Linked DNA regions of Drosophila melanogaster. The gene in region 1 interacts genetically with each later gene. Each region holds a gene or a part of one and is shown in the gene's direction. Other genes may lie near its edges.

The links. A genetic interaction does not mean that the proteins touch.
Region 2: of Cpsf100 (region 1) and so, changing one enhances a phenotype caused by changing the other (phenotypic enhancement), as found in Drosophila melanogaster (one study listed by BioGRID).
Region 3: of Cpsf100 (region 1) and tut, changing one enhances a phenotype caused by changing the other (phenotypic enhancement), as found in Drosophila melanogaster (one study listed by BioGRID).

What each region holds. Positions count from the first base shown.
Region 1 is NT_033777.3:29,033,027-29,037,622, forward strand, and holds Cpsf100 (cleavage and polyadenylation specificity factor 100), read left to right. Parts: upstream 1-1,546; 5' UTR 1,547-1,636; coding exon 1,637-1,785; intron 1,786-1,844; coding exon 1,845-3,966; 3' UTR 3,967-4,036; downstream 4,037-4,596. Other genes in the region: beta4GalNAcTB (beta1,4-N-acetylgalactosaminyltransferase B), read right to left, coding at 1-893; Slu7, read right to left, coding at 4,057-4,596. UniProt on the Drosophila melanogaster protein: Component of the cleavage and polyadenylation specificity factor (CPSF) complex that plays a key role in pre-mRNA 3'-end formation, recognizing the AAUAAA signal sequence and interacting with poly(A) polymerase and other factors to bring about cleavage and poly(A) addition.
Region 2 is NT_033778.4:7,417,686-7,422,409, forward strand, and holds the start of so (sine oculis), read left to right. Parts: upstream 1-1,664; 5' UTR 1,665-2,313; intron 2,314-4,724. UniProt on the Drosophila melanogaster protein: Required for visual system development. May transcriptionally regulate genes necessary for optic lobe invagination and Bolwig's nerve formation.
Region 3 is NT_037436.4:8,209,017-8,212,262, reverse strand, and holds tut (tumorous testis), read left to right. Parts: upstream 1-1,519; 5' UTR 1,520-1,591; coding exon 1,592-1,705; intron 1,706-1,771; coding exon 1,772-1,950; intron 1,951-2,005; coding exon 2,006-2,405; 3' UTR 2,406-2,686; downstream 2,687-3,246. Other genes in the region: CG8006 (uncharacterized protein), read right to left, coding at 1-298. UniProt on the Drosophila melanogaster protein: RNA binding protein that forms a complex with bam and bgcn, involved in 3'UTR-dependent regulation of a subset of mRNAs. Preferentially binds a long isoform of mei-P26 transcripts.

The sequences.
Region 1 (4,596 bases):
TCCGCGTGCTGGCGCAGAGTCGCCGATCTCAGCAGTGCCACGCGATTGGCATTCGGCTGCTCCTGTTTGTGCTTCAGCATGGTGTACTTACTGAACTCCATTGCGAATCGGCAAATGTCGATATTCAGGGCCTGCAGGCGCTCGTAGAGGTCATCGTCCTCTCCGCCCCAGCCGTAATACAGATTGGACATGCCGTTGATCTGCTGGTACTGGGCGGTGTTGATGGCCACCACGCCGCCGAAAAGACCGCGGTAAGGCAGTCGGAATCGCCAGTGATCCAGGGCAGAGCTCATGTGCCGTGGACGTTCGGAGCAGGCATATATTTGACCCGAATTCAGTGGCAGGAGGTCCACGTCATGAAGGATGAGGCAGGGAAATCCATACTCCGCAGCCACCTGGGCGCCAATGTTGAAGAGCATCGCCCTGTTAAACGGCTTATGATCGAACTGTTCGACCAGGAAAATCCGATAGTGGATCAGCTGCTGCGGCAGGTAATTGTGCATGTACGTGAGGAAGGCGTGCAGCTGCTCCTCCCGCTGCCTGTACGGCACAATGATGGCGGTGCTGTAGCGAGCCTGACATCCTTCCGGACGGAACTCGCCGCCAGGACGGATCTCCGCGCCCCTCTGCACCGCGTCATGGTAATGGGCCAGGTGGTAGACGAACCGGTTTTCGGCAATGATCTCCGAGTAGGTGCATTCGAAAACTTCCTGCTGGGAGACATTTCTGGTCACCTGCGGCACCAGAGCCCCCTCGATCTTTGATTCCTCGATGTAGTCGTAGTGCGATGCGAACCGGAAGGGCAGACACAGGTACACGATGAGAGTGATCAGTCCGATGGCGATGAGAAGATCATATTTATGGAAGCTGCGGACCCAGAGCCGCACGAACATTGTTGGCAGGAAAAGTTGACTCAGTGCGATCTTTGGAAACTCCGCATCCTAATTTCGGACGCAATCTTCGCGGCCGGTTGGCGAATAACAGCTGACGACCAGGGACGCAACGCATAAACCAACAGACAGTGAAACTTCACCAGCTCGAATTGTTTTTTTTTTGGTTTATTTTCTCACATAATATTCATTAATTTTTTAAATGGTTTTTACGAACAACTAAAGTCTACTAACCAAAAAGAAAATGTTTATGAAATCAATTTTTAGGATGCCTTTAATACAAAATAGCATAAGAAGTTGTTTTTATAAAAAGTATGCAACCGATTGGGCATCCATGGTTCTTTAAAACGGCATGACTCTACCCCACCCTTATTAATTAAACAATAATTTGATAAAAAGTTGTGTTTACTTATACTAGATTGTTGAGACTTCTATTGATAAGGATGCATAGTTATAAATGTTGACTCATTAAAGAGAAGGTAATTGAACTGAAGAAGGTTGTAGCCATATGTATGTATGGTTAATACATGAGAGACATAATCAAAGTTTTTAATTTATAACATTTAAAATGTCAATCTTTGTTTATTATCGGGTTGTACTGTTCGCTCAACAAGTACGTACTGTATAAACAAAGCAACAGCACTCTGGCAACGCCGTGACAGTTTCCCATCCCTGAACCGGCGAAGAACTCTTGGTTTCCTTTTACAATTTCTTAAACAAATGCACCGGTGGTTTAATTGGCAAAAATGACCTCCATTATCAAGCTGCACACTATATCTGGGGCGATGGACGAGTCCCCGCCATGCTATATCCTACAGATAGACGATGTGCGGATATTACTTGACTGCGGATGGGACGAAAAGTTCGATGCCAACTTTATCAAGGAACTGAAGAGGTGACAATTGTATACATATTTCAGGAAAACAATAACCTAAATATTTTGTGTATTCCCAGGCAGGTGCACACCCTGGACGCCGTGCTGCTATCCCATCCGGATGCATATCATCTTGGAGCCCTGCCATACTTGGTGGGCAAGCTGGGGCTCAATTGCCCCATCTACGCCACCATTCCCGTGTTCAAAATGGGTCAAATGTTTATGTATGACCTTTACATGTCGCACTTCAATATGGGAGACTTCGATCTATTTTCGCTGGACGACGTGGACACGGCTTTCGAAAAGATAACCCAGTTGAAATACAACCAAACAGTTTCACTGAAGGACAAAGGATATGGAATATCCATTACGCCTTTGAACGCTGGACACATGATCGGCGGCACCATCTGGAAGATCGTCAAGGTGGGCGAGGAGGATATTGTGTACGCCACCGACTTCAACCATAAGAAGGAGCGCCACTTAAGTGGCTGCGAGCTGGACAGGCTGCAAAGACCTTCGCTGCTCATTACCGACGCCTACAACGCACAGTACCAGCAGGCCAGAAGGAGGGCCCGCGATGAAAAGCTAATGACCAACATCCTGCAAACGGTGCGTAACAACGGCAATGTCCTGATAGCCGTGGATACGGCAGGACGAGTCCTGGAGTTGGCCCACATGCTGGACCAGCTGTGGAAGAACAAGGAATCTGGGCTAATGGCCTACTCCCTGGCCCTTCTTAACAATGTGAGCTACAACGTGATTGAGTTCGCCAAGTCGCAGATAGAATGGATGAGTGACAAGCTCACGAAGGCTTTCGAAGGTGCCCGCAACAATCCCTTTCAGTTCAAGCACATCCAGCTGTGCCATTCACTGGCGGACGTCTATAAATTGCCCGCTGGTCCAAAAGTGGTGTTGGCCAGTACCCCAGATCTGGAGAGCGGATTCACGAGGGATCTCTTCGTGCAATGGGCCAGCAATGCCAACAATAGCATAATCCTTACTACTCGTACGTCTCCCGGCACTTTAGCCATGGAACTGGTGGAGAACTGCGCACCGGGCAAGCAAATCGAATTGGACGTCAGGCGAAGAGTTGACTTAGAAGGAGCTGAGTTGGAGGAGTACCTACGCACACAGGGCGAGAAACTTAATCCCCTTATCGTAAAGCCCGATGTGGAGGAAGAGAGCAGTTCCGAGTCCGAGGACGACATCGAGATGAGCGTCATCACGGGCAAGCATGATATTGTGGTCAGACCGGAGGGTCGCCATCACTCCGGTTTTTTCAAGTCCAACAAACGACACCACGTGATGTTCCCCTATCACGAGGAAAAGGTGAAGTGCGATGAGTATGGGGAGATCATCAATCTAGACGACTACCGGATTGCGGATGCGACAGGCTATGAGTTTGTACCTATGGAGGAGCAAAACAAGGAGAATGTTAAAAAGGAAGAACCGGGCATAGGAGCAGAACAACAGGCTAACGGAGGAATCGTCGACAATGATGTTCAGTTGCTGGAGAAGCCCACCAAGCTGATAAGCCAACGCAAAACAATCGAGGTGAATGCCCAAGTCCAGAGGATCGATTTCGAAGGTCGCTCTGATGGCGAGTCCATGCTAAAGATCCTCTCCCAGTTGAGGCCACGAAGGGTTATCGTCATACACGGCACTGCCGAAGGCACACAAGTGGTGGCCAGGCACTGCGAACAGAATGTCGGTGCGCGCGTTTTTACTCCGCAGAAGGGGGAAATCATTGATGTCACCAGTGAGATTCACATCTATCAGGTACGCCTGACGGAAGGACTTGTCTCCCAGCTGCAGTTCCAAAAGGGCAAGGACGCGGAGGTGGCGTGGGTGGATGGTCGCCTGGGCATGCGGGTGAAGGCCATCGAAGCACCCATGGACGTAACTGTGGAGCAGGACGCTTCCGTGCAAGAAGGCAAGACATTGACTCTTGAAACACTGGCGGACGATGAGATTCCTATCCACAACTCAGTGCTCATTAACGAGCTGAAACTGTCCGACTTTAAGCAGACTCTCATGCGTAATAACATCAACTCGGAGTTCTCCGGCGGCGTGCTCTGGTGCAGCAACGGAACTCTGGCCTTGAGGCGAGTGGATGCCGGCAAGGTAGCCATGGAGGGATGCTTATCCGAGGAGTACTACAAGATCAGGGAGTTGCTGTACGAGCAGTATGCGATCGTTTAATATTCAAAATGACGTTTGTGTAAGCCCCTAATGTTTTACTTGTTAAGATTAGAAAGTTTTTATATAAGAGAATCAGTTGTACTTTATTGCCTACATAAATTGCAGCATGGGATCTTCTGCCCTTGGCCGCTTCTTCTTCCACTCCTCGATCTCGTCCTCTGTGGGCGCCTTCACATCATACATGCTGTTATAGGCTCGTTTGCGATCGTCCAGTTCCTCGGGAATATCTTTTTCCTTTGTCTTATCTTTGTCCTTGGTCTCCTTGTTCTTGCCTTTTTGTTTTCGCTGCTCCTTAGCCTTCTTTTTCTTCTCGCGCTTCTTCGACTTCTTCTTGGTCTTCTTCTTCTCAGGTTTTACCTCCTCCTCTTCGGATGAGGAGGGTTCCGAACTCGATGCTGAGTCCACTTCGGAAGTGGGCCTTTCAGGTGGCACTTCTGGTACCTTGAATTGGCTTTGAGCTGCAGGTTCTGTAGTAGCCGCTGCAGTGGAGCTCGTAGAATGATGTTCCGAGTAGCCCTCTGGCTCCTGCATGCCCACGCAGTAGGAGTTCTTGATGAAGGACTTGCAGCACTTGTAACCCCAGCGTCCGGCGTTCCAGAAACTGCCCCAAACTGTTGTGTGATTGTTGAT
Region 2 (4,724 bases), on another chromosome or scaffold:
GTTGCCGATCTTGATTAGGTGCACCGGCCTGGCGCCCCATTAGTCCATCATCTTTGTTGGATTTCGATCGAGTTTCCCAGCTCCGTTTCCGAATTTGCATTTTGGGTGGTCCTCGATGCGATTTTCACGGCACACGCTGAGATCGAGCTACCGATAAATGGGACAGAATTTTAATAAAGAAGTGCTGAAAATAATACCATTTGTCTAAGCGGTTCCTCCAACAACAGGTACTTTGACTAATTTCTATACATTTAGCGTTACATTACATTAATTACATTAATTTACATTAATTACATTAATTACCATCTACAAAATTCACTAAGCAGTGTAGTACTCTGTGATTTAAGTTGACTATTTGTATTCAAAAAGAAAGTTAGGCATTCTGAACGCATCGCTGCACTTTGTACAGGTGTCTCTAGATCATGTTAATAGTTTGAAATTAAATTAGGTTCAAGTTATTTCAGTTATCATGAACAAGGACTTGAAGACGAAAGGAGCCTGTGTATATAGTAAATATTTAGTAAACTAAATATATTAGTAAATCATTAACACAATTAGTTGGCTTCAATTACCAAACGGCTTCATCTCCTTCGGAATCATTAAATAATACAATGCAAACCGCACTAATGTGGAAGGACCACAAGGTTGAGTTAAACCAAAAAAGTGGAGTGAATGAATATGAGAAAAGGCCAGTAATTGCAATTATACGAGAGATGCATGGAACTATTGCGGTGAGTAATTCAAACGGCATTGTAGGATGGCAGCTATTGCACCGGGCATCCTTTCAGCCAGGATGAGGAGTTCCTGGGGAGGAGCAGCGATGCAGTTGCAATCACCTCCGATTTCCGCCTTTCAATATGGCGCCCAATGCGCATGCCTTTTTGCTGGCATGCGTTTCCGCTGACCAATCAGCACGTTGCTGTCCTCCAGTGCGCCGGTGTGCGTGAGGGCATCTATGTGTGTGTGTGTGTGTGTGTGTGTGTGCGAACAGGTAAGCCGAGGGGGCGTTCTTTCGGTCAACCTGTTTATGCGCTCTCTCGCTCTTTCGCACGCTGCCCCTCTCGCAGTGGCTGTCAAACTGTTGTCGATTGGCACCGTGTGTCAAATTCAATGGCTACACGTTTATAAAAATATTTGTCCAATTAACTTAACTTAACTTAACTTAATTGTAAGCCACTTTAAAAATATATAAAACCATTTTCTAATGTTTTGAAGATACAATAGCATATAATAACGGAAAAATGTACTATGTCTTACTACGAAAACATTAGAATACAATAAAATAAAATAGAATAAAAATAAAAACACTTGTAAAGGCAAGATATTGAAAACAACTAAAACGTAGTGAATTCTGAGTTATCATCAGTTCATATATGTGTAATCATGAACTGTGTGTGCCCAGTGACTTTATAAAAGTCAGTGAATGTAAGTCTCGCTTCACTTGATTCCATTATTTTCCTATAACGTTTTTGGAAAGTGACGCACAAAGTGTCGGTGCATCCCACTGTGCAGTTCACCCCCTTGGTGTTCGCTCACTCACACACTCGCACGACCAGTCGGCCATCTCGCTCTGGCGCACGCACACCGCCAGCGGCACCAACCATTTTCTGCCTTTTGTCTCGGCCGTTTTCGGTTCGATTAGGTTTGAGAACCGGAGAGTTCTCAGTTGTTTTCGAGATTCCGTCGCGTGCGGTTCGCTGCCCGTTCTACCCACGTCGCTCGCTTAGTAATCCAGGCCGGATCCGGCGGTCTTTTGACGTCCCGCGCACAAAGTTATATTTAATTTGCGTGTTTCCTGAATGAACGCATCAGTATCGCGCCACATAAACGCACACGAAGCGAGAGAAAAGCGAGCAAAATTGAGCTAATCAATCCGCGGGCGGCCATTTTTTGTTGGCACTGCCTCAGTGCTGTCGTCGCAGCTTTGCCCACCAAATTTGCAGGTGCAATTTGTCCGAGTCGCGCAGGACAGCGAAGTTTTCGCGAAAAGTAATTTGCAACACGTGTTCGCACAGTGCGTATGAGCAATATTCAACGGCAAGCTTGTGTTAGTTAGTGCCCAGTGTGATCGCGACTAAGAGTGTGTGCGTGCGCGAACGGCACATGGCTTCGATTTGAAGAGTTTGGCCAAAATGCAAATCAAGGAAATGCCGCACAGCCGAAATCAGCGCCTTCTTGGCCAACTCTAACATTTGCGGATATAGCACAAGTCGAATCGGAAAGCCAAGGCAAAAGGCACAAACCCAAACAAAGAGTAACAAACAAAAACTAACAAACTCGGATACGTATCAACAATAAATAATCAAAATACAGGTGAGCAGCGAGATTCAGTTTTCATGCTGCCGACGGCAAAAGTTTACTGTGGAACACTAGAAACCATGGCAAAAATATATGTAGATGCATAAGTAGGACGGATATTCTTTCACAATAAGAAAAACGAATGGTATATGGGGGATTAATTTAAAATAAAATTGGCATTGATACTTGAAAAAGGAGATATAATAACTATGATAAATTTCGGGACGATTATGTGAATAAATATAGCTAATATTAGATTATACATTTCCATATTGGAACCTTAAAATTATAAAACCATAAATATATACAAAAGTTTCAGAAAAATAATAATTTCAATAGGTCAAACTAAGCCTTAGAAGAACTAACCACATGTTCAAGAAATCACTTATCACCTATAGATAAGATCATAGAACATAGACCTTTTATTAAACATCCCATACGGTTAAAATGGAACTTACAGCAAAGCGTTATTCTTGATTAGAAAAGCCTAAAGTTCTCTGAGAAAGTATCAATCACTTTGCCTATTTGAAGACTTCATTTAAAAATATATTTTAGTGCTTTAAATAGCCTTTAAAGCGTGTGCAGCGAAAACATTAATGCAGTCCATAAATGTCACGGCGTATCTCTATCCGCTTTCTAATGGATCAATCTATCATCGAAGTCCATAGATTCACAACGTTTTGCCGATTTCAATGAGGAGAGCTGAGAGCCAAAGTGCACTTCGCTTTTTGGCGGCGTGGCATTGGCGAATTCCAAATGGCCAAAAGCCATCGGAAAACCAACTCGAGGCACTTGAGAAGCAATTCTGAGGGAATCGAAACGAAGGCAAAAGCACGGGAATTGCATGTTCACTTATATTTGGAAAGGAAACTTGTTTACACACCAAAAGAAAAATTCTGTTGTTTTATTCACCGCTCAATTTTTTTCTAAGTTTTCCACGTTTCCAAGTTGGCTACTCAACGGCCCACCCACCTCAGATGTATTTATTAATTAGAGGAAAAGATATGAGATGGATTTGATCCAAAGGAAAAGTAGTTTCCAGTTGTCATTCATTCATCGCAAAGGCTTTCCAACCGTTTGGTGCTCGAAACCAACGCACACAGTGTTTATTTATGAAACCATTTGGCTTTATCATTTCGTTTCTCGCCACAAAATTTATGAAATTATTAACTATAGCGACTGTTTGGCCGACAACTTTTGTACTTCGTGTGAGGATGAGTGGGCGTGGACCCACTTTTGTCCGGCTAAATTCGATATTTGCGATATTCGGGGGATTGGGAGCGTTTAAACGAATTGGCCAACGCGTGTTTGTCGTCAGAAGTCGAATGATTAATTGAGTGCAGAGATGGGAGCAGATGTTGCGTACGGTTCTGGTTGCCTATTTCGGATCATCAAGATACCAGCCATGTGGATTCCATCTCGGAAGTGGCCAAATTGACAAATTTGCGCATTCCATTCGCCTAGATTCGGGACTCGGGCAGAAACAGATACAGATACGCAAGTTTGGCCGCAGCAGCTTTGATCATTTTACGCACCGGCGTGCAGAATCCGTCGTAATTTGGGGACGAGCTCCCCACCGGCGGGACTTTCGACCAGTGCACTTCAGTTTCATTCAAAGTTTGGCAAATGCGGCGCAGCAAGGCGAAAAGCAGCCGACATGCAGATGCAGATACATTCGGCTGCGGAGGCAGAGACACATGTGTGTGCAACCCATTAAATTGACAAATTTCATTCATTGCGCCGCGCTCTATTCGATTTCTTTGTGCGTAGCTCCCTCACGCGGCAATTAAACGGAAAATGTTAAAAATAGTATCTGGCGGATAGCAGCGATTGTCTCGACCGTTTGGCAGCAGCAGCGCTTACTAATCCCGACCAGCGGCCAGAAAGCCGTTCGAATTACCCGGAACGGGGGCTGGCCCACAACAGGTTGCATGGCACACGTCTTCCCAGTCCTCAATCCCCAATCCCCAATCCCCAATCCCCAGTCACAGTCTCAATCCCATTCCCATTCGATTACATTGTATAAACACAGACGCCGGAGCAGATGATTTCGGTGTTAGCCGCGAGAAACAGGCGCACTGTTTGTGCTTTTTGCGATTGCGATGGCACCATGCTCCAAGTTGAGCTGGGTGCTCCTCGAGCTGGGGCACACTTCACCTGCAGAGTTCCCGAAGTGCACTTAGGACTTAGGGCTTTGGAACTGCCCTGCGAGTTGAATCGAATCCATCAACAAGTCAATCGTAAGCTGACTTTGATTACAAACTAATTAGGCGAACAACGCTTGCAGCCACGGCAGCTCGAACAATTCAATTTGATTAACAGCCCAATAGAGTTAGGTGTCCGCTTTCAGATTTCCAGGGATTCCACGACATTCAAATTAAAATCTTATAAAAGTAGGAAGAAGCACAGGGGAAGGGGAATGGGGC
Region 3 (3,246 bases), on another chromosome or scaffold:
ACTTCTTACATGGCTGGCCTCTGTACTCATCCAAAATTACGTTCAGATTCCTACTGTAGTTACGCACATCCGTGAACGGTTCCTTGAGCACTCCAAAGTCCTTCAAGTGGCCATGCATGAGCAGCATCAGGCTATTTCGGGCCAACTTCTCGCTGAGAGGAGCCTTCTCGAATATCTTTATCCATCTGGCCATGATGGGGCGATCCGACTGCTTAGCCCTTGCCTGATCGGCATACTTGTAACTGGCTAGCTGCTGCCTGAAATGGCGATCCAGTAACTCCTCGCTTAGATCCTTCATGGCCACATTCGCATATTCAACCGGAATCAACTGATTTTGTTCCCAAAAAATATTTGTAATTTTAATGATTTGAATAAAATGAAACCGCTTACTCAAATCGGGTAAGGAAATGCGGAAATATAAGTGGGACTAGTGGCCTTACTCGGCGACTGTCACCAAACGTCTCTCAACCGCAGAAAGGGGAGGGGGGTCAAAAGTGGAGCTCAGGGTTTCTCAGAGATGCTTCAAGTGGTGGGCCCACGTCTGGCAACAAGCACAAGGAGCAGCGACACTACACTTTAAACAAAGAATATCAGAGCTTACTTTTCAAAGAACTTAATGGATTTTCTTGTCGAAACACTCTTACCTGGTGCGTCTCTACACTACGTGGACTAAACTGGACTTCACAGTGATAGCTTTTGCATTTACCACTTCATTTAAGAAAACTGTTGTGTATTAATCTAACAACATGTTACCTCCCACAAATAGTTTAATGTCAGTAATTTGCTTATGGCCATTTCGAAACAATGAATTATTAGTGTAACAGCAGTAGCAACAAAACAGTATGCGGTTGCCACGTAAATTTTCATTAGCGCAGCGCGCGTATAAATTAGGAAAATGAAGCAGCAGCAGCGGCAGCAGGCACTTGAGTGCACCGCAACCTCCATCAAGATGCCCCCTGGTGGGGTGAGTGGGTGGTGGAGTGGGTGGCGGATGGGCGGCTTAACCGCAGCAACAACAACAGCGAATGCGATGCGAACCTACATACATACATACATAGGTGCTGCGGCTTGTGGCGAACTGTGAGCAAAAGTTGCAAACGACCGACTGCCTGCATAAATTTATATTGTTAAACATGAGCTAGAAAAAAGCACGCGCAGCCTGTCAAAAGAAAGCAAAAATAAAGAGCAAAGAAATTGCCTGACATGCAAAAAGCGGTTTGGAAAAAGAGTAAAGTAAATGCATAAAGTACATAGCAAAAATAGAATACCTTCGTATAGAGCTGAGTTCGCAGCAATGCCAAAAAAAGACCTCTTACGCAAAAATATAATATGAAAACACTCTCTATTTTACACAAATGTTAAACATTCAAACAAGTTCATAAACAATAATAAGTTTATGCCCCTCCGTTACTTTACCTAAGTGTTAAGTATAAAGAATTTTACCAACTTCATTGACTATCTGGCAACGTCGCGAGCGTTGTATGTTTTAAAGCTTATTTGGTCACACTAAATCATTGGCATCTTAGCTTTTTTTTTTTTTTTTGATGCACGCGTGTATGCTGTGTATTTTTTTTTTTTTGCTATTTTTAAAATGGATTTCGAGAGCAAATACTGCACCAGTCAAGTAAATGGCACTATTACCATAACTACGCGCAAAGTCCTTGATGAAAATCTAAAATCCTTACTGGATGAGGGAAAGGGCGAGGTGAGTGTCTAGTGAAGCATCTAGTCTCAAAAGTTTACGGAGACACTAATACGTTTTTGCTTCTAGCTGTTTCTCTCGTGTATACCGAGGAATCACAGTTGTTCTCCGCGGTGGATTGTGGAAGTGGCCAGCGAACTGGGTGAAGTTTACATTATGCGCTATAAGATTGATTTTTCGGGAAATTCTCGCGGCTACGCCTACTTGCAATATATCAATGTGGACCTCAAGGAATCGGCAATGCAATAGTACGTACTTCGTAATAATTTTCACATAAAACAGCACTAACCCTAATAATCCCAGTCTGCCAATGCGATTCCGACAGCTTTGCATGTGCTTAAGGGTGGAGCCATCGACCAACAATCGCGAGCTGGTGCTCAAAAACGTAGAATCGTCGCTTAGACCATGGCAAGTGTACCAGGAGATGTTGAAGATACATCCCTTTACCATCGTTCGAGTCTACGAGTATCAATTAGACCAGTTCTTCTATATATTTGAGTACCGCAACAACGACTCGGCCGCAAGTGCCCATCAGAGAGTAAGGAATTCGATCAGAAAATTCGGTGAGCATGCGCACATCTCCTGGTTGACTGCGGAGAACATCTTGAGCAGAGCCAGCGGTAGCTTCTGTTTTCAACGGGAAGTAAGCCAAAATCGTACTCGACGCGTTCCTCCCAGACAAAAGGGCTGTTTCAAGTTTTAAATGGAAGTGGTATCAAGTATGTTACTTTATTGGTTCATGCTACCAAATCCATAAGGCTCCAAATGTTTTGTTTGTACTACACGTAAGTAGGACGAAAATGTATAAAATACTTTAATACTTTAGTTATATTTTTTCTATTGTTAAATAAGTTTATAAGTAAAATAAGAGTACTCTTAAATAAGTCAACCATTTAGATATGAATGAAGATGTTTATTGCTTGATTTGTGTAAGTTTTTGTAATACGTGGAATTTGAAAACAAGAATATGTGTTTTGCAAAGTTAATCTCTGATTTTTTAATGAAATTTTAAAGCCAAATATCAAATCACTTTTAGAATGCATACTATACCTTAAAAAAAAACTAACCAAGCGGATTTTGGAATTCCTGTGGCTCTCTGGGCAGTAAATTATGTTGCTGCCCATGCGAATGTAACATAAACTTTCACCAGTTGTTAGGACAGGGGGAAATTATACACAGCATTGTTCCTGGCAAATCCTTTTGGCCCGCCGCTTCTCACTCTGATGAAATGCAGCCGCAGCTTGTTGACTTCATTAACTCTGGGCAAAAACAGCGAGCAGCCATAAAAATAAAAAAAAATAAAAAAAACAACACCGACAGCGCAGCGAAGCTGCAGTTTTTCACATGCAAATTAATGCAGTGTCTTTGGAGTGGCGGAGTGGCAGCCAGGACTTTCAGGGCAATGCGACAACCTGCGGCATAATGCAATTAAATGAGTGCAGCGAGCAGGAGTCGACGCTAGCCTCCGGCTGGCATTGTGTTGGACACGGTGTCTGGGTACCGGGTCTGACTCCAGATTACGGGTCTCCAAAGTGCAATGATCG